Arabidopsis thaliana: one gene and its partners. The protein of the gene in region 1 interacts with the protein of each later gene in a pairwise test. Each region holds a gene or a part of one and is shown in the gene's direction. Other genes may lie near its edges. The genes, in order: AT2G38510, AT5G42420, CNGC13 and GDU4.

Evidence for each region.
Region 2: the proteins of AT2G38510 (region 1) and AT5G42420 interact in a protein complementation assay, tested with the Arabidopsis thaliana proteins (one large-scale study listed by BioGRID).
Region 3: the proteins of AT2G38510 (region 1) and CNGC13 interact in a protein complementation assay, tested with the Arabidopsis thaliana proteins (one large-scale study listed by BioGRID).
Region 4: the proteins of AT2G38510 (region 1) and GDU4 interact in a protein complementation assay, tested with the Arabidopsis thaliana proteins (one large-scale study listed by BioGRID).

What each region holds. Positions count from the first base shown.
Region 1 is NC_003071.7:16,122,306-16,126,037, forward strand, and holds AT2G38510 (MATE efflux family protein), read left to right. Parts: upstream 1-1,679; coding exon 1,680-3,140; 3' UTR 3,141-3,230; downstream 3,231-3,732.
Region 2 is NC_003076.8:16,966,924-16,971,043, forward strand, and holds AT5G42420 (Nucleotide-sugar transporter family protein), read left to right. Parts: upstream 1-1,731; 5' UTR 1,732-1,895; coding exon 1,896-2,034; intron 2,035-2,120; coding exon 2,121-2,305; intron 2,306-2,416; coding exon 2,417-2,617; intron 2,618-2,704; coding exon 2,705-2,866; intron 2,867-2,936; coding exon 2,937-3,302; 3' UTR 3,303-3,604; downstream 3,605-4,120. UniProt on the Arabidopsis thaliana protein: Nucleotide-sugar transporter that transports UDP-rhamnose or UDP-galactose and UMP in a strict counter-exchange mode.
Region 3 is NC_003075.7:433,705-439,590, reverse strand, and holds CNGC13 (cyclic nucleotide-gated channel 13), read left to right. Parts: upstream 1-1,999; 5' UTR 2,000-2,187; exon of another isoform or gene 2,188-2,319; 5' UTR 2,320-2,348; coding exon 2,349-2,377; intron 2,378-2,503; coding exon 2,504-3,026; intron 3,027-3,099; coding exon 3,100-3,611; intron 3,612-3,737; coding exon 3,738-3,849; intron 3,850-3,939; coding exon 3,940-4,176; intron 4,177-4,264; coding exon 4,265-4,659; intron 4,660-4,739; coding exon 4,740-5,022; 3' UTR 5,023-5,374; downstream 5,375-5,886. Other genes in the region: AT4G01020 (helicase domain-containing protein / IBR domain-containing protein / zinc finger protein-like protein), read right to left, coding at 1-505; AT4G01000 (Ubiquitin-like superfamily protein), read left to right, coding at 5,864-5,886. UniProt on the Arabidopsis thaliana protein: Putative cyclic nucleotide-gated ion channel.
Region 4 is NC_003071.7:10,557,186-10,560,784, forward strand, and holds GDU4 (glutamine dumper 4), read left to right. Parts: upstream 1-1,987; 5' UTR 1,988-2,293; coding exon 2,294-2,764; 3' UTR 2,765-3,054; downstream 3,055-3,599. UniProt on the Arabidopsis thaliana protein: Probable subunit of an amino acid transporter involved in the regulation of the amino acid metabolism. Stimulates amino acid export by activating nonselective amino acid facilitators.

The sequences.
Region 1 (3,732 bases):
AATAGCGGCAGCGCCAAATTCTCTGCTGGTCTCCGTCGCATCCCTTTCAATGAGGCTTGTTTCTTTTTCTTTAATTTCTCTTTTCTTGTTCTTACATTTTCTTCAACAAAAAAATTCCAATTAGCTTTGACAAGTCATCACTCTGCTTATTCTTTGATTTCATAGTTTTCTTGTGTTTTTGTTTGTACTACTAGTTTTCGTGATCAGGACCATCCTAATATAGAGACGTTTGCTACGTTTAACCAGAGAATTTGGTGATTTTTGATGGATTATTATATTGTTTTCAGTCACTTTCGCAGTATTTTTTGGGTCTGGTAAATAATATGTAGTTCTTGGAAATTGATCTTATACTGGATTGAATGCTTCTTTTGACTGTTTTTATAGCATTTTAACCGAATATAATGCATCCCTTTTAAAAACATAGCATGAATAATGCTTCATCTATCTTTCACGTACTTGAGAAATACAATGTTGAAAATTCATTTATATATAAGTTTTCTCTGTATATATATATATATATATATATGTGTATATATGTTCATATTTATGCCTAAAGCGTTACTACTTACTACTAGTATGATAAATCCTCACTTTCATGGACTGAAAGAGATGCTTTTTGTGTTGTACTTACTTTATATTTCTTGACAGTTGGGTTGTACTTACTTAGGAAAGTGTTCTATATAGGTTTCCTCTCACTCTATTCTTTTTATCAGTTTCTTTACTTAGTACAAATATAATCTAGTTACTTTCCGATTTATTTTCTTGAAATCCTTATCCGATTGTTTATGAAATGTCAATAGTAGTTCATGATACTTTTACAAGTATCTATGCGTAAAATATTTTTTATATGTTTTTAAAATGTGGATATTCTTAATGAAGATATCATGAAATGAAAGGTAATATCTAAGCTGATTTTGTTTTTTCAAAAAGAAAACAAAAAAGGTGAGCTTTTAAAAACCCATGATGATTTTTATTTAAAAAGATCCTAGAATGTTGGTACAGTTAGCCATTCGCTTTTCTGGCACTTGTGAATTTGATTATATATTCAGTTCTAAAAGTTATAGAGTTTAAACCTTTTTCTCTTCCTTTTTCAACTTTCTCATCCCAGTCCCAGTGGCCATGTGATGCGACCATCTTCCTCGTGCTTACAAATTGTTCTTAATTTTATAATATGATAAAATATCATTTTCCGTATTGTAATGTAATGTCCTTCTGTTTCACAATAAAATTAATTTAAGATTTTATTTGACAAAAAGAAACAATTAAGGTACAATGATTTTTTTAATAACTCATGTATAAAAAGCTCATATAAATACCATTTTCATACAACTTATTAGAAAAGAAATTTGTTTGTTTATTGTGATAAAAATATTAATAAATGATATACCAGAAAATTTAATATTTTTAGTGAGTGCAATATCGTTAATTAAACGAAATTAAATCACGTACAAAATATTAAACATGATTAAAAAAGGATATTAAAGACTAAATCATATTTTGAGGATAATTTTTTTTTTTTTAATATACAACATACTCGTGTTGCGCTCTTTCTATACACTAATATCTTCTCGAGTGCGTTTTGCTAGAACTAGAAGCCTATAGAACATGTGAAAAAATAAAGAGTTGTTCAATTGAAAAACCTAACAAAAATAACATAATTTTTTAATTTTATTTTTCCCATGCAGGTGGGAGAGGAGATGGCGTCACTCACAAAAATAGCTTGCCCGATTGTGATGACATCACTCCTCATATTCTCAAGATCAATAATCTCAATGTGGTTCTTGAGTCATCTCGGAAAAGTCGAACTCGCTGGTGGTGCACTCGCTATGGGCTTTGGAAACATCACTGGAGTCTCCGTACTTAAAGGCCTTTCCGTTGGTATGGACCCAATCTGTGGCCAAGCCTTCGGAGCCAAACGTTGGACCGTACTTAGCCACACGTTTCAGAAAATGTTCTGTCTCTTAATTGTCGTCTCTGTTCCAATCGCCGTTACGTGGCTCAACATCGAACCCATTTTCCTACGGTTGGGTCAGGACCCAGATATTACCAAGGTAGCCAAAACCTATATGCTCTTCTTCGTCCCTGAGCTCTTGGCTCAGGCCATGCTCCATCCGCTTCGAACGTTCCTTAGAACGCAAGGCTTAACATCACCGCTCACGATATCTGCCATTGTATCCATTCTTCTTCATCCTCTCTTCAACTACGTCTTTGTCGTGCGTATGCGTTTAGGCGTTAAGGGTGTGGCCATCGCAATGGCTTTCAACACTATGAATATCGACGTGGGACTGCTCGTTTATACGTGCTTCTCGGATTCTCTAATCAAACCGTGGGAAGGGCTCGCTTTGCGGTCACTTTTCCGCGGCTGGTGGCCGCTGCTTTCTCTAGCCGCACCAAGCGCTATCTCGGTGTGTTTGGAGTATTGGTGGTATGAGATCATGCTTTTTCTTTGTGGGCTTCTTGGGAACCCTAAAGCAAGCGTGGCCGCCATGGGAATATTGATTCAGACCACCGGGATACTATACGTAGTCCCGTTTGCTATTAGCAGCGCCATTGCAACCCGTGTAGGTCACGCTCTTGGAGGCGGCCAACCAACACGGGCACAATGTACGACCGTGATTGGCTTGATACTCGCGGTAGCGTACGGTTTAGCAGCTGCTGTTTTTGTGACCGCGCTTAGGTCGGTTTGGGGAAAGATGTTCACGGACGAACCGGAGATTCTCGGGCTTATTTCGGCTGCGCTTCCGATCTTGGGGCTTTGCGAGATTGGAAACTCGCCACAGACGGCTGCTTGCGGAGTCTTGACTGGGACGGCTAGGCCTAAAGATGGAGCACGCGTTAACCTATGCGCATTCTACATTGTGGGCTTGCCTGTGGCAGTTACGACCACGTTTGGGTTTAAGGTTGGGTTTCGTGGGCTATGGTTTGGACTGTTATCTGCGCAGATGACGTGTTTGGTAATGATGCTTTATACGTTAATCCGTACGGACTGGTCTCATCAAGTGAAGCGGGCAGAGGAACTTACCTCCGCTGCAGCCGACAAAAGCCATTCGGAAGACGAAACCGTCCATGCTGAAGTACAAGACGATGATGATGTGAGTAGCAATGATCTGGAGATTGGTTTACTACAAAATACGAATTGACTAGTTTAGCTAGAAATGTTAAAATTATCAATCGACAATTTTTAACGGATTGTTAATGATATAGGAAACTTTTTTTTTTTGGCAAACTAAAAATACCGAAGATAGATTTGTGTCCGAACTGTTAACTAAGATTTTGTGAAAAGACTCAGCCATTTAATTGGTTGAGCTTAGCTTTTTCTAACACGCAGAAGTATGTAGTGAGAACAGTTGTGACGAATCTATCAAGGATCAATCAAGATCAATCACAATTCTACTTATGTAAACTATATATTCTGTAATTAGAAGTCTCTAGAACATCTAGTCTGTATATAAACAATGTAAATCATCTCAATACAAATCATCCAATTCTATATTCTTTATATGGTATCAGAGCATCATCGATACCTAAAAATAAAAAACCTAAAAACAGCCGCCTCTCTCCTTTCTTTCTTCTTCTCCCCCGTTGATTTTTTTATTCCTCTGTTTTTCAAACTTCAACCATGTCGAATGTTTCTTCTGAAACCGTCAACCTCAACAACACCTCCATTGTTCACATGAACATGTCGAATGTGACAAAACTTACGGCCTCCAATTACATAATGTGGAGCCGCCA
Region 2 (4,120 bases), on another chromosome or scaffold:
ATCAAACATATCATATGAAACTTAGCAGGTTACAATCTAAAAATAATAATAAGAGACAAATAATTAATCAAAAGATTACATGCCCAAGTTCTTACTTCCTCTTTCTAAAACACAAGGCCTCTTAGAGTACTCACAACAAAAGTCGAAGATAATGTTTTCTTATGTTCACCAAAAAACTTACAAAACTAACTCTCGAGAAAATCTAAATTTTCTTTTGAAGTGTGGTTTATATATGTATATATATTTTTATATTTTTTTGGAAAAGATTAATAATATTTAATCAGTATAGAAGTTCTGCTTAGACTCATTAATATTTAATATGTTAACTCATTATAAGTTTACAACTCAACTCATTGAATTGATGAAACCATTTGATCTAATAACTCATTTGGTTGTAAGCTTCTATAGTTATTCTTATATAAGTCTGAAAAAATATTATAGTTGTATTTTTGGATATCTAAGGAATTAAGAAAATTGATAATGTCTCACCTCTACGATAATTCCTTTTCATCTTTCCGTTTTGTTTTTGTATTATCGATTTATGTTCTTTAATTATTATTATTTTAAAAAAACTTCTCCAGTCATCTTTTTATTTATCAGTTACATTATCGTAAATATTCATGCTTCTTACATGAAAAAACGAAATATTTTAATGTGATCTCCACTAGTTCATGAAGAAAATGCAAAGTTATGACTTACTTTTATGGATTGGCTGCTTAAACAAAAAGTTACCAACAGACTTTGACTTTGACTTTGCGTAATGCAAAAATAACGGCAGCATGAAAAGAGGTTCCCTTCGCCTCATAATCTGCCTAAGTTACTGGTCAACAAGCACTACTATATATTTGTGTCATTTTCTTTTATTTGTGTTGTTTTTTATATATAGTAAATTATAAACATATTAATTATTCCTACTTTCCTTAGAAATGATGCATGGTGAAAAATTTAAAAATATTCATATACAAAAAAGAGAGGGAAAATAATATTATCAGTTCGATAAATATGTATTGGTTTTTATGAAAATAATAGTTTTATTCAAAATATTAGCTAAAAAGTACTCTCACACAGTTGGTTTGTTTCATAGTTATAGAATTTATTATGTGACACAAAAAGTTCAAAGAATATTAAAAATATTTGGAAATTATGCAAATAAACAAATATTTGTAATTATATTATTTACATAACACAATCTTATGATATTTATTTTAGAATATGTTTACATTATTTTATCCATATATATGTGTCAAATACGATATCATTTTTGGACATTTACATTTGTTGTAAATTAAATTGTATAGAGTTAATAAAAAAAATCAACAGATAATTTTGATTAAGGTTTGTGAATAATTTAGTCAATTCAATGCAAAATTCAAGATTTATTTGTCTAATCCACTAATTGAGAGTTTCTTTAGTCATAAATAAATAAATTGAAAATCTTCAAATCACGAAATATTTTTTAAAGATTTAATTTACAGAAAATCTCAAATCTCATTACAAAAAATCGTTAAAATCAAAATTTGCAACAACTAAAAAAATTCGATTATCAATTTTGTCATAATACTCATCTACAACTTTTGTCACTACATAATCAATTATTTTCTTGTCCAAAAAAAAAACATAATCAATGATTTTCTTAATGTAATTGTAATGATGAATTTTGATGCGGGTAAAGTAAAAACTAAATCTACTTACACAACTTCCTTTTTAAAAGTATTTATTTCAGATTTGAGATTTGTCAGATATTTTTCTCAACGTGAAAGAGAGAAAAGAGAATCTCTCAGAAGGTGAGCCTCCAACAAAGCGTGAATCTCTCTTTCTCTCTCTATCTCTCTATCTCCGAGATCGCATCACCGGAAATCTCCTTCTACGGTGGTGGTGGTGACAGTTGACCAGAGATGGCGGCGGAGAATGAGAGAAAATCTCCTTCAGCAGTCTCCGATATGGGAGCTTGGGCAATGAATGTGATAAGCTCCGTTGGAATCATCATGGCGAATAAACAACTTATGTCCTCTTCTGGATTCGCATTTAGTTTCGGTTCGTCTTCTTCCTCCGATCTCTCACTCTTTTTAATCAATTTCGCTTTTGAGATCTGATGATTTTTCCGATCTCTGTTTTCTCAGCTACAACTCTCACCGGTTTCCACTTCGCTTTAACCGCATTGGTCGGTATGGTATCAAACGCTACCGGATTCTCTGCTTCGAAGCATGTACCTATGTGGGAGCTTATTTGGTTCTCCATTGTCGCTAATGTCTCTATTGCTGCTATGAACTTCAGTCTCATGCTCAATTCCGTTGGCTTCTACCAAGTAATTCATCTCGATCTCGATCTTGAGCATATAGAATCAAATTGCTTTGATTTGAGCATATATAGACTTTGATTTTGGTTTAGTGGATTCACATTTTTTTGTGTTGATTAGATCTCGAAGCTGAGCATGATTCCTGTGGTATGTGTAATGGAATGGATTCTACATAGCAAGAGATACTCAAGAGAAGTGAAAATATCTGTTGTGGTTGTTGTTGTTGGTGTTGGTATTTGTACTGTGACTGATGTTAAAGTTAATGCCAAAGGTTTTATCTGTGCTTGTGTTGCGATTTTCTCGTCATCCTTGCAGCAAATTGTAAGTCTTTTTGTTTGGTGATTTGGTTTTGAAGCTTGTGGAATTCAAATCTGATCAATTGGTGTTTTTTCCTTCTGTGTTGCTTAGTTAATAGGTTCTCTACAGAAGAAATATTCAATTGGGTCCTTTGAGTTGTTGAGTAAAACAGCGCCGATTCAAGCTTTTTCGCTTCTTGTTGTCGGTCCTTTAGTTGATTATCTTCTTAGTGGGAAGTTCATTATGAAGTATAATATGTCTTCCGGTTGCTTTGTAAGTATCTCTCTTCATGGCTCTGCTAGTATTGTTATGTTATCATTGGCTAATGTTCTACAATTTGCAGCTATTCATTCTTCTCTCATGTGGTCTAGCTGTGTTCTGCAACATAAGCCAGTACCTTTGCATCGGGCGGTTTTCAGCAGTATCGTTCCAAGTTATTGGTCACATGAAAACCGTCTGTATCCTCACGCTTGGATGGCTCCTATTTGATTCTGCAATGACTTTCAAAAACGTAGCGGGGATGATTGTTGCGATTGTTGGGATGGTAATCTATAGTTGGGCAATGGAATTGGAGAAACAGTCGATTATTGCAGCAAAGGCTTTAAACAGTGTGAAACATAGCTTAACAGAGGAAGAGTTTGAACTTTTGAAGGAAGGTGTAGAAACTACACAATCAAAAGATGTTGAACTTGGCCGCACAAAAGATTAGAGACAGATGGATAGAGAAAGAAACATAGTCTTCAGGTACAATTTGTTCTGTTATAATTTTTGTATGTTTTGTGTTATCTAAACCAAGAGATCGGATCCTCGGAGATTAGTGTCTAGGCTTCGATCTAAAGTTTCCTTGGTTATACAAATGTTTTGTGTTATTTATATCTTTTTACCCAATTCCATGGAAATAACTTCAATGACCACATGTTCTTGTTTTACGTAGCACTCAAAGAGTATATTCCTTTATTTATCTTATAGAATATGACATCAAATGTAGAGTATATTCCATTTGATAAAACATTCATATGGATAGTGAAAACAAGAATACTGGAGAAGACTTAAAAGAACTTCTGATAAAAACATTCATATGCTCCCAAGTAATGTGAAAATTGTAAATGAGAAGGGGAAAAATGTTATTTAATACCTGAACTTTCAAAAAGTGGCCAAATTAACCGTGAATTTTTGAAATGGCCGTTTTATACCTCAACAAAAAGTTGACTTCTAATTTAACCTATAAGTTATCGTTGACCCGGCCAAATCGACTCACCATTAACACTTCTTAACAGCTCTCCTAACAGCGTAACTAACAACTGTTTTTGTCCTTAAACCAACAATAACGGCTGTTAGGCCATGTTTTGTAACGGCTGTTAGGAGCGCTGTTAAGGAGTGTTAACGGTGAGTCTATTTGGCCGGGTCAACGACAAATTATAGGTTAAATTAGAAGTCAACGATAAATTATAGGTTAAATTAGAAGTCAACTTTTTGTTGAGGTATAAAACGACCATTTCAAGAGTTCACGGTTAATTTGGCCATTTT
Region 3 (5,886 bases), on another chromosome or scaffold:
GAACAACAACATTAGGAATCAGCTCAGGAACAAAATCATGTCTCCCTTGAAGACGATAATCCCAAAGAGCCACAACGGCAGAACGCGCATCGACCCACTGACGAAAACTGAAGCTTGCAGCGATACAACCAAATTGAGGCACGTGAACTGATTCCTCCGGAATTTCGCAAAGCAAAGCGATACTCTCGATCTCTTGCTTCTTAGACAGCTTTGTGTCACTGTTAGCGGCGGCGGGGTGAAGCAGCTGAACGATGAAATTAGGCCTAGCCCGCGTGACTGGAGGAGAGAATCCCGACGACGGAGCACGATCACGTCTGTAATTTGGCGGGAAATTAGTGTTATGGTACTGAGAGTGTTGCTGGTTCCAAGTAGTACAGTGGTTGAGCGGCGGAGAAGATTGTGCAGAGCGAGAGTTATAACGGTTCGTTGAGGATGAGGGAAACGACTGCTGACGACGATCAGTCGTCGATCTCCCACCGTCTGAAGGAGGAAAAGAGTTCCTCATGATGAGATGATGCCAGTTTTTTTTCTTGTTAAGAATGAGAGAGCGAAAGAGAAAGAGTCAGAAGTTGAAAAGAGTCACAGAAGAGTCAGAGAGTTATATCAATCAATATTAAAACCCTATTAAAATTTATTTAACTTTTCGTCTACTCTTTCCTTTTTCTTTAACCTAATTTAATTTTCTTCTAATCAATATTAAAACCCATTTTGTTACTATCAATTCTTTAATTATTGGTTCGACCTATAGAAACATCCAGAAATCCAAATTTGAGGATAAAAGTGTTAAAGTAACATTTCTTAGTATTTCAATTTTATGTTTTTACCACATTTTAAAATTTAAGTTAGAAATAGTGTATCTACCAATGATATTGCCATATACGTATTAAAATGTACATATCATCAAAAGTAAATATGAAATCTTAAAGGTATTAAATAGTTAACTCATATTCTTGTAAAGTTTAATATTTGTATACCATTTAGATTTTATTCAAAGCATTGAATTTTATTAATAATTAGTTAGTAGTTTCAAAAACTATTTTAAAATCCCTACAAAAAAAAAACTATTTTCAAATCCCTACAAAAAAAAATACTATTTCAAAATAAAAGAAAATAGAAAATATTGAAAGCAGAAAATATAGAAAGGTGTTAACAAAATTATATAAAAGAAAAAACAAACAGAAAGTGTTACATGTTTTATATAAAAAACAATTTGGTTAAAAATTTCAATAACCTCATATCATTTTTTCTCATCTGCTTAATTAATGATATTCAAATGAGTTATTTTCAAAAAATATTGCTTATATAAGTGATGATATGATGCGGTTCGCTACAAATTTTTCGTGCCAATAAAAATTTCATATATTTTTCTACATTTTTTGTCAACATCATATATTATTATTTCCTAATTTTATTAGAACTCTCGTCTTTAAAAAGTTTTAAAAGCGTCATTTATCGTTCTTTTATCTACAAAAAAAAACAAGATTTCATGAGTCAGACAAGACAAAAGCCATAAACAACACAAAAGTCCTGCAAGATTGCTCACTTGGGCGGTTGGGCCTATATGAAAATTTACTATCTCAAAATTTAACTAAGAGCCCATAAAAACTGTAAGATCTTTGCTTTAAATCACATTGTCTTCATAGATTTTGTGATTCATGGTAGATTTGTGAAGATCTTTGGTCATCTTTTTGTTTACATTTGGCTTATTGAGTGTAGAGTGTGAACAATCTGCTATGAAGTTGGTAAAATTCTTTGGATCCAAACCTTTAAATCGTAGCATATTTACTATTTCACACTGCTAGGATCTGTTTATAGCTGATGCATTACTGGAATCTATGATGTTTACTGTGTTGGTCTGATATATAACAAGTTCTGAATTTTAAAATCAAATTCAATATCGAATTGGGCTTTTAATTAAGGTTAGGCCCATCAAATGTTTTTGACTCTTTAATAATTCCCTCTCTTTTGTCTTTTATTGTAAAATGCACACAATTTCGAAGAAACTGCCAATGGAGTCTCCATTTTCCAGCGCCATGCCAAGCTTGACTCTACGATGATAGCTTATTTGACTGCTTCAAAAAAAAACTTCAGAGAATTAATTTCGAGAATTTTCCCAATTTCAGATCATCGGAAAATTCTTACTATAATCTTTCTTATATCGCTTCTCTCAGTTACTTCAACGTTCTGGTCAGTTTCGGATATAAATGTTTTAATTTCTTAGTTTCCGTTTCTTCTTCTTCTTCTTTTTTTTTTTTTTCTGTTACTGTAAACTTGGGGATAACGAATTAAAGCGATCAAATCGATGTTCTTATGATTCAGGATCCGTTATAGCAAAAAAAGCTTGACTCATGGCTTTTGGCCGCAACAATCGTGTAAGGTTGTTGTTTGCTTGCTTTCTTTAATCTCTGTCTTTTTTTTTTTTTAGAATGAATTTACTGAGAAACTATGGATATGAATGATTCTCAGAAAAAATATTCTTTTTTGTTGATGATTTTTTGTTTAGGTTCAGAGATTGGATTTCAGAGGGAACAGAGTATGGTTACGGAAGAAATAAAGCTAGACCATCTCTAAACACAGTTTTGAAGAATGTTCGTAGAGGACTTAAGAAACCTTTAAGTTTTGGTTCACATAATAAGAAGAGAGATTCTAATTCTAGTACCACTACACAGAAGAATATTATAAACCCACAAGGATCTTTTTTACAGAACTGGAACAAAATCTTTCTTTTTGCTTCAGTGATTGCTTTGGCTATTGATCCATTGTTTTTCTATATTCCTATTGTTGATGGAGAAAGACACTGTCTTAATTTGCATCGTAACTTGGAGATAGCAGCTAGTGTGCTTCGCACGTTTATAGATGCTTTCTACATCATTCACATTGTGTTTCAGTTTAGAACTGCTTATATCTCTCCTTCTTCTCGTGTTTTCGGAAGAGGCGAGTTGGTTGATGATCCTAAAGCTATAGCCATCAAGTACCTCTCCTCCTACTTCATCATCGATCTTCTTTCTATCCTTCCACTCCCACAGGTAACCTTTAGTTCCTAATGGTTTTATAGTTCCTTCTTGATGGTTCTTTAATATTCTGTTGTATCTGCTGCAGCTTGTAGTCTTAGCTGTCATCCCCAATGTCAACAAGCCGGTCTCTTTGATCACTAAGGACTATTTGATAACTGTCATATTTACTCAATACATTCCAAGGATTCTTCGTATCTATCCACTTTACACTGAAGTTACAAGAACATCTGGCATAGTTACTGAAACCGCTTGGGCTGGAGCTGCTTGGAACCTATCTCTCTATATGTTAGCCAGTCATGTGTTTGGAGCCTTATGGTACTTAATATCAGTAGAACGAGAAGACAGATGCTGGCGTGAAGCTTGTGAGAAGATACCAGAAGTGTGTAACTTTAGATTTCTCTACTGCGATGGAAACAGTAGTGTTAGAAACGATTTCCTGACTACCTCGTGCCCGTTTATCAACCCTGATGATATAACAAATTCAACTGTCTTCAACTTTGGTATCTTTACTGATGCTTTAAAGAGTGGGATTGTTGAATCAGATGATTTCTGGAAGAAGTTCTTCTACTGCTTCTGGTGGGGTTTGCGTAATTTAAGGTTTGTAACACTCTCTCTATCTAGTTATTAGTAATTTAGGATTCATGTGACACACTTGATGGCTGGCTAAGATATGTTGAGCATGAAACACTAATCTGATCACTTGCTGTTTCTCACTCGCTGCAGTGCATTGGGACAAAATCTCAATACAAGCAAATTCGTTGGGGAAATCATATTTGCTGTATCAATTTGTATATCTGGACTAGTCTTATTCGCACTACTTATCGGCAATATGCAGGTATATATTCATTTCACTGCCTTTTTTCCATCACTTACTTGATCCCCAAGGAAGATAAAACACTACTGATGTTTCCACTTTCCATAACAGAAATACTTGGAATCAACTACAGTGAGGGAAGAGGAGATGAGAGTGAGAAAAAGAGATGCAGAGCAATGGATGTCTCATCGAATGTTACCCGATGACTTGAGGAAACGTATCAGAAGGTATGAGCAGTACAAATGGCAGGAAACTAGAGGAGTAGAAGAAGAAAACCTTCTGCGTAATCTCCCTAAAGACCTCAGGAGAGACATCAAACGCCATTTCTGCCTCGATCTTCTCAAGAAAGTAAGTGCTTCTAGTTCCACCTTATCTCTTTGATCCTCAAATTTGACATTTCATTCAAATAATCATTGATCGAATCAAATATATATAGGTACCTCTGTTCGAGATAATGGATGAGCAATTGCTAGATGCCGTGTGTGACAAGCTAAAACCAGTGCTCTACACCGAGAACAGCTATGCAATTCGAGAAGGAGATCCAGTGGAAGAGATGTTGTTTGTCATGAGAGGAAAACTGATGAGCGCCACCACAAACGGTGGCCGGACCGGCTTCTTTAACGCCGTATACCTAAAACCTAGTGACTTTTGCGGCGAAGATCTTCTCACATGGGCATTAGATCCTCAATCTTCGTCTCATTTTCCGATATCGACTAGAACAGTTCAAGCTTTAACCGAAGTAGAAGCCTTTGCTCTTGCAGCAGATGATCTCAAGCTTGTTGCTTCACAGTTCAGACGACTACATAGCAAACAGCTTCAACATACTTTCAGGTTTGTTTGGTCTCTTTTGACTGATCTCTCTGCTTCTCCAATCTCCGGTTCTGTTTGGTTTAATTCGGTTTAACTGTCAGGTTTTATTCGGTTCAATGGAGAACTTGGGGTGCGTCTTTCATACAAGCGGCGTGGCGGAGACATTGCCGGAGGAAACTAGCTAGATCATTAACCGAAGAAGAAGATCGATTCCGAAACGCGATCACAAAACGCGAACGCAATGCGGCGTCTTCGTCTAGCCTGGTTGCAACGTTATACGCGTCGCGGTTTGCTTCAAACGCGCTTCGCAATCTGCGTACAAACAACCTACCTTTGCTACCTCCTAAACCCTCCGAGCCTGATTTCAGTCTCCGAAACCCTTAAAATATCTCTTACACATGTCCACTTACCACTTGTATATAATATTGTGTCAACGACATTAAAGCTTAAACTAATTACAAAAATTTAGTGACCCTATTTTATAGGCACGATGCTCCAATGGTCACTTTTAAAATAGAGTTTCCTCAAAAATAGGAAAAAAATAGAGACTAAATGTAGAGATCTTTATTTATAGAGATGATATCTCCTCTATTTTAAAGAAAATTCTATTTTACATGTGACCATTGGAGCAGCCTCTAAAATAGAGTCATATCTATAAATAAAGGAAAATATAGAGATCACTATTGAAGATACCTTTATAAAAATAAAACATGGTTATATATATGAATTTGATAACTTTAGGTAACCTTAATTTTTTTTTTAGTTTTAAAAGCTTTGGAGTAAATATAACAAATTTATTTAAAAATTGTTTTTTCATGTGTGTGTTTTGACCAAAAAAAAACAAATAACATGTTTAACCAATAACATACAATTTATCATGTTATTTTATCTAAGAGTAATTTTTCCATATATATATATTTATTATAAGATTCAATTGTAGATAATTTTTACTTAATAATACATCATTTACCATATCATATATAGATATTAGTTTGGTCAAATTGTACAAAAAAAATCGATTTCTCCTGACCGACATAGATTCAGACAATATAAAGCCCAGTCATAAACCCAAAAGTGTGGATAAGATAATAATCTTAGCCCAACAAGCAGCGAGAGAGAGAGAGACTTATTATTAGGGCTCCGTCAAATTTCCCCAATTTCTCTCTGATTCCTCTCTAGAAATCGAACTTCTTCTTCTTCGTCCAAGCTTTTGAATCGAAAATCGATGGCGGATCAGAGTTCTAAGCC
Region 4 (3,599 bases), 5.6 Mb from region 1:
AATGTTTTCGATAAATAATTTCTTTAAAAGTAAATTTTTGTAGTTGGATCAAAAGTTTTCTTGACTAAAAAATGGACCGAGAGAAAACTACGCTATAAATTTGAAGGTTTGAACTCTTTATGTTTTTGACAAAAATAAGAACCCTTTATGTTCGGTAACTTCGATTAGTTAACTGGACTTCATTTAACTAGTTTAATTTCATTAGTCGATATAATTTTTCTGCCATTTTAATGGTATAAACGCCTATGTTTCAAGGGTAACAGAAAATAAGTATTAAGTTTTTCTCTTCTTTAGTTCGCAATGTGAATACATAGATGATTCCAAAATATGCTTTCTTATATATTTGTAAGAATTTAGTTTGAAAAACAGACATGGTCCTTTAAAATGGAACCTGTGAAAAAATATAAACTTAATTCTTTTAACAAAAAGAAAAGAAAAAGTTTATAACATTTGGGGCACAAATTTGCACCTGATCACTACATTTTAATATGATGACAGCTTTATGGATTATTGAGGTAGTGCACCTGGTGCACGGTAGTTGGTGTGATAGTAACAATTGGAAAAAAAAAAAAAAAAAAATCCCACATATGACTTTTATTTGCACTTTTGAAATTTTTTTTCTTTATTTTTCTTTTAAAAATATATTTTTAATATGTAAAATTACTAAATTAACTTTCTTAAATTAATAACAATTAATCAAAAACATATATATTTTAATATCAAATCAATTTATTTGTAATAATTAAAATAATTCAAAATATATATTTAGGGTAATAAATTTTTGAATTTGTTAGTCTTTTATAACTAACAATTCCAAATCTTTATTGCCCTAAATATGTTTTTCTAAACAATAATGACTAACAATATTCTACCGATATTAAGTCATGATTTTTTTTAAGCCATGTGTTATGGTGCAGATTTTAATATTCATTATTATTGTAAAACATTAAATAATTTACTTTGCAAAAAAAAAAGGAGAATTATTGAATTCAAGCAAAGTTTGGTGATATGTTAAGTTGAAAATTGTGTTTGGACTACTCGAGATTATTTTATTTTATATAAGTCCGATTGGTAACACAAAACTGTACAAAATTTTAGCTGTTAGCTATAACCAAAACTTTTTTTGGAATAGTGCAAAGTTGTACAAAAGAATTATACGAGAAAGCTGTACAGTAAAGTTAAGAGTAAAACTTTTTGTAATGTTTTTGATAAAGTTAATTTTTGCGAATGATAACTCTCAAAATAGTACAAGTTATATCGCTTTGAGAATGTGTTACCATTTAAAACCTATAACATGACAAATATTAAGTGATAGACTTTATAATACTTTTAGATATAGAAAAATTGAGAGATAGAAAATTTCTTCATCCAAAAAGAAAGAGAGAAGTTGGATTCCCAATTTGCGGGATCCCAAAAAAATAAAATCCCCATTAGGCATCATAGTGTGTCCTCACAAGAAGATAGATATCGTGCCATAAATTAGAACTGAGAGTAAGGGGTCTTGGAATCCATCTCTCACTCTCATTCCTCTGTCACTTCCAGAAACCAAACTATTCATCTATCTAAATTGATCTATTTGGCTTAAAGTATCTTAGAGTCATCAAGAGGAAACCCCTTGTCTTTCCAAAAACTTTCTCGATATCATGCTATCACTGACATATTATTGGATATAAGACTTATAAGTCTAATACCCAATTATTGTAGTTTGTGTAGTTGATTGATGTCAAAGTTCATATGGTTTCAAATTTATTGGTAAATATTATGATTGATATCCTTTTTTTGATTTTAAAAATCACCATTTATATATTTTTCAACAACCGTTAAGCAAAAATTTTAAACCAATCTGCGGTAGTTCTTGTAGGCATTTTTCAAGTTTTTTTTAGTGTAGTTTCTTAAAGATACTAAAATTTAATTTATCGTGTCTAGTTTAAATTTGTGTAATTAATGTTCGCTATCTTTCTTTAAAAAAACAAGCACCTTAACATATATATGTGTCTATAACAAAGTAAGTTTGAGTACATAATATTGCATGCAAATATATGCGGCAAAACTAAAAAGTAATAAACGGCAAATGAAAAAAAAAGCTGCTTTAATTCAAATAATTAAATATTCGGAGTGACTCACTTTCTTTTTCCCCAGGGACTTCTTACCTATAAATATAACACCTCACCACACCCATTGTTTCATTCATCTTTCCAGCTTTCTTCACTTTTTCCTTTATATAAAGTTAGAAAAACAAAAAAAACAAAATAGTTAGAAAAAATCTGAGAGAAACAGAAGAAACATAAAAAAAATGAGGCCATTGAGCATTAAACCAACATCGTTAGATGTAGCTAGACATGCCACATCAGTAGAATCATTTGGGAATCACCGACCGCCGATATCGCCGTGGCACTCACCGGTGCCGTACCTATTCGGTGGTCTTGCGGCGATGTTAGGCCTCATAGCCTTCGCTTTACTTATCCTAGCCTGCTCTTACTGGCGCTTGTCAACCTCCGGTGATGACTCCGGCGAAAGAGTCGACGAGGAAAAAGAGAGTCGGTCTGGAGTGAAGGCGGCTAGCGCGGCGTGCGAGGAGAAGGTTCTTGTCATAATGGCCGGAGATGACTTGCCGAGGTTTCTGGCCACGCCGGCGGCGAACAAATGCATGTGCGGTCACGAGGGTAGAATGGTAATTTTCAAGGAGGATGGTATTGGTGCTGGAGAGGAGAAAATGGGAGACAGAGAGAAAGCCAAAGAAAATGAAGAAACAACGAGTCAGTGAGCTTTTTTGTTTTCTTTTCTTCTCTCAGTCTTGTCTTTTTTTTTTTGTTGGGGAATTTTCCTTCGTGTTTTCACGGGAAATGTAAAATTTACTGAGAGAAAATTTTGGGTTATGATTAATGAATGTTTGCTTGTAATTTCCTATCCCCAATGGTGGAAAACTCGTTTTTAGTTTTTGTAATTCTCAAAAGTGTGATAGGTAACCTTTCTCATACAGCTTTAATACCAATCAGTAATAGAGTAAACTAAAACGGAATAACATAATAGTACTTAAAATTCTTACAATTTTATGTCATCACTAAGATCTACAAAAAAATGAATCATAGTATCATAACACTATGTTTGCCCAAAAAAAAAAAAAAAAGTATCATAACACTATTGATCATAAATTCAAAGCTTGCAATGTTTCGATGGAAACGTGATTCATCCCGTACACAAACTGTAATTTTATATACATTTTCAGAAACTAATGTAATGCATTAACCCTTTTGTATTACGTATATATTCTCACATTTTATATTTTGTAAGGAGATTCGTTTAGTTACTTTAATTATGAATTGTTATAATTGTGTCTCCTCCATGTATTTGTGTTACTTTCATATTTTCCTTGCATTTATATATTTTATTTACCATAGGATAGTTCTGAATTTGCTATCAACTTGGATATTTTAAATTAATTGAGACTCCATCTAGTTCACCGTCAAATTTTAACTATACTTGTTTAACTATACTTGTTATATAACGAGTGAATAAACTGGAAATAGTATTACTATTAACTATGAACTTACATTCGTAATATTCGAAAATATGTGCGTGAGTTAGTCTTGTCACAAGAA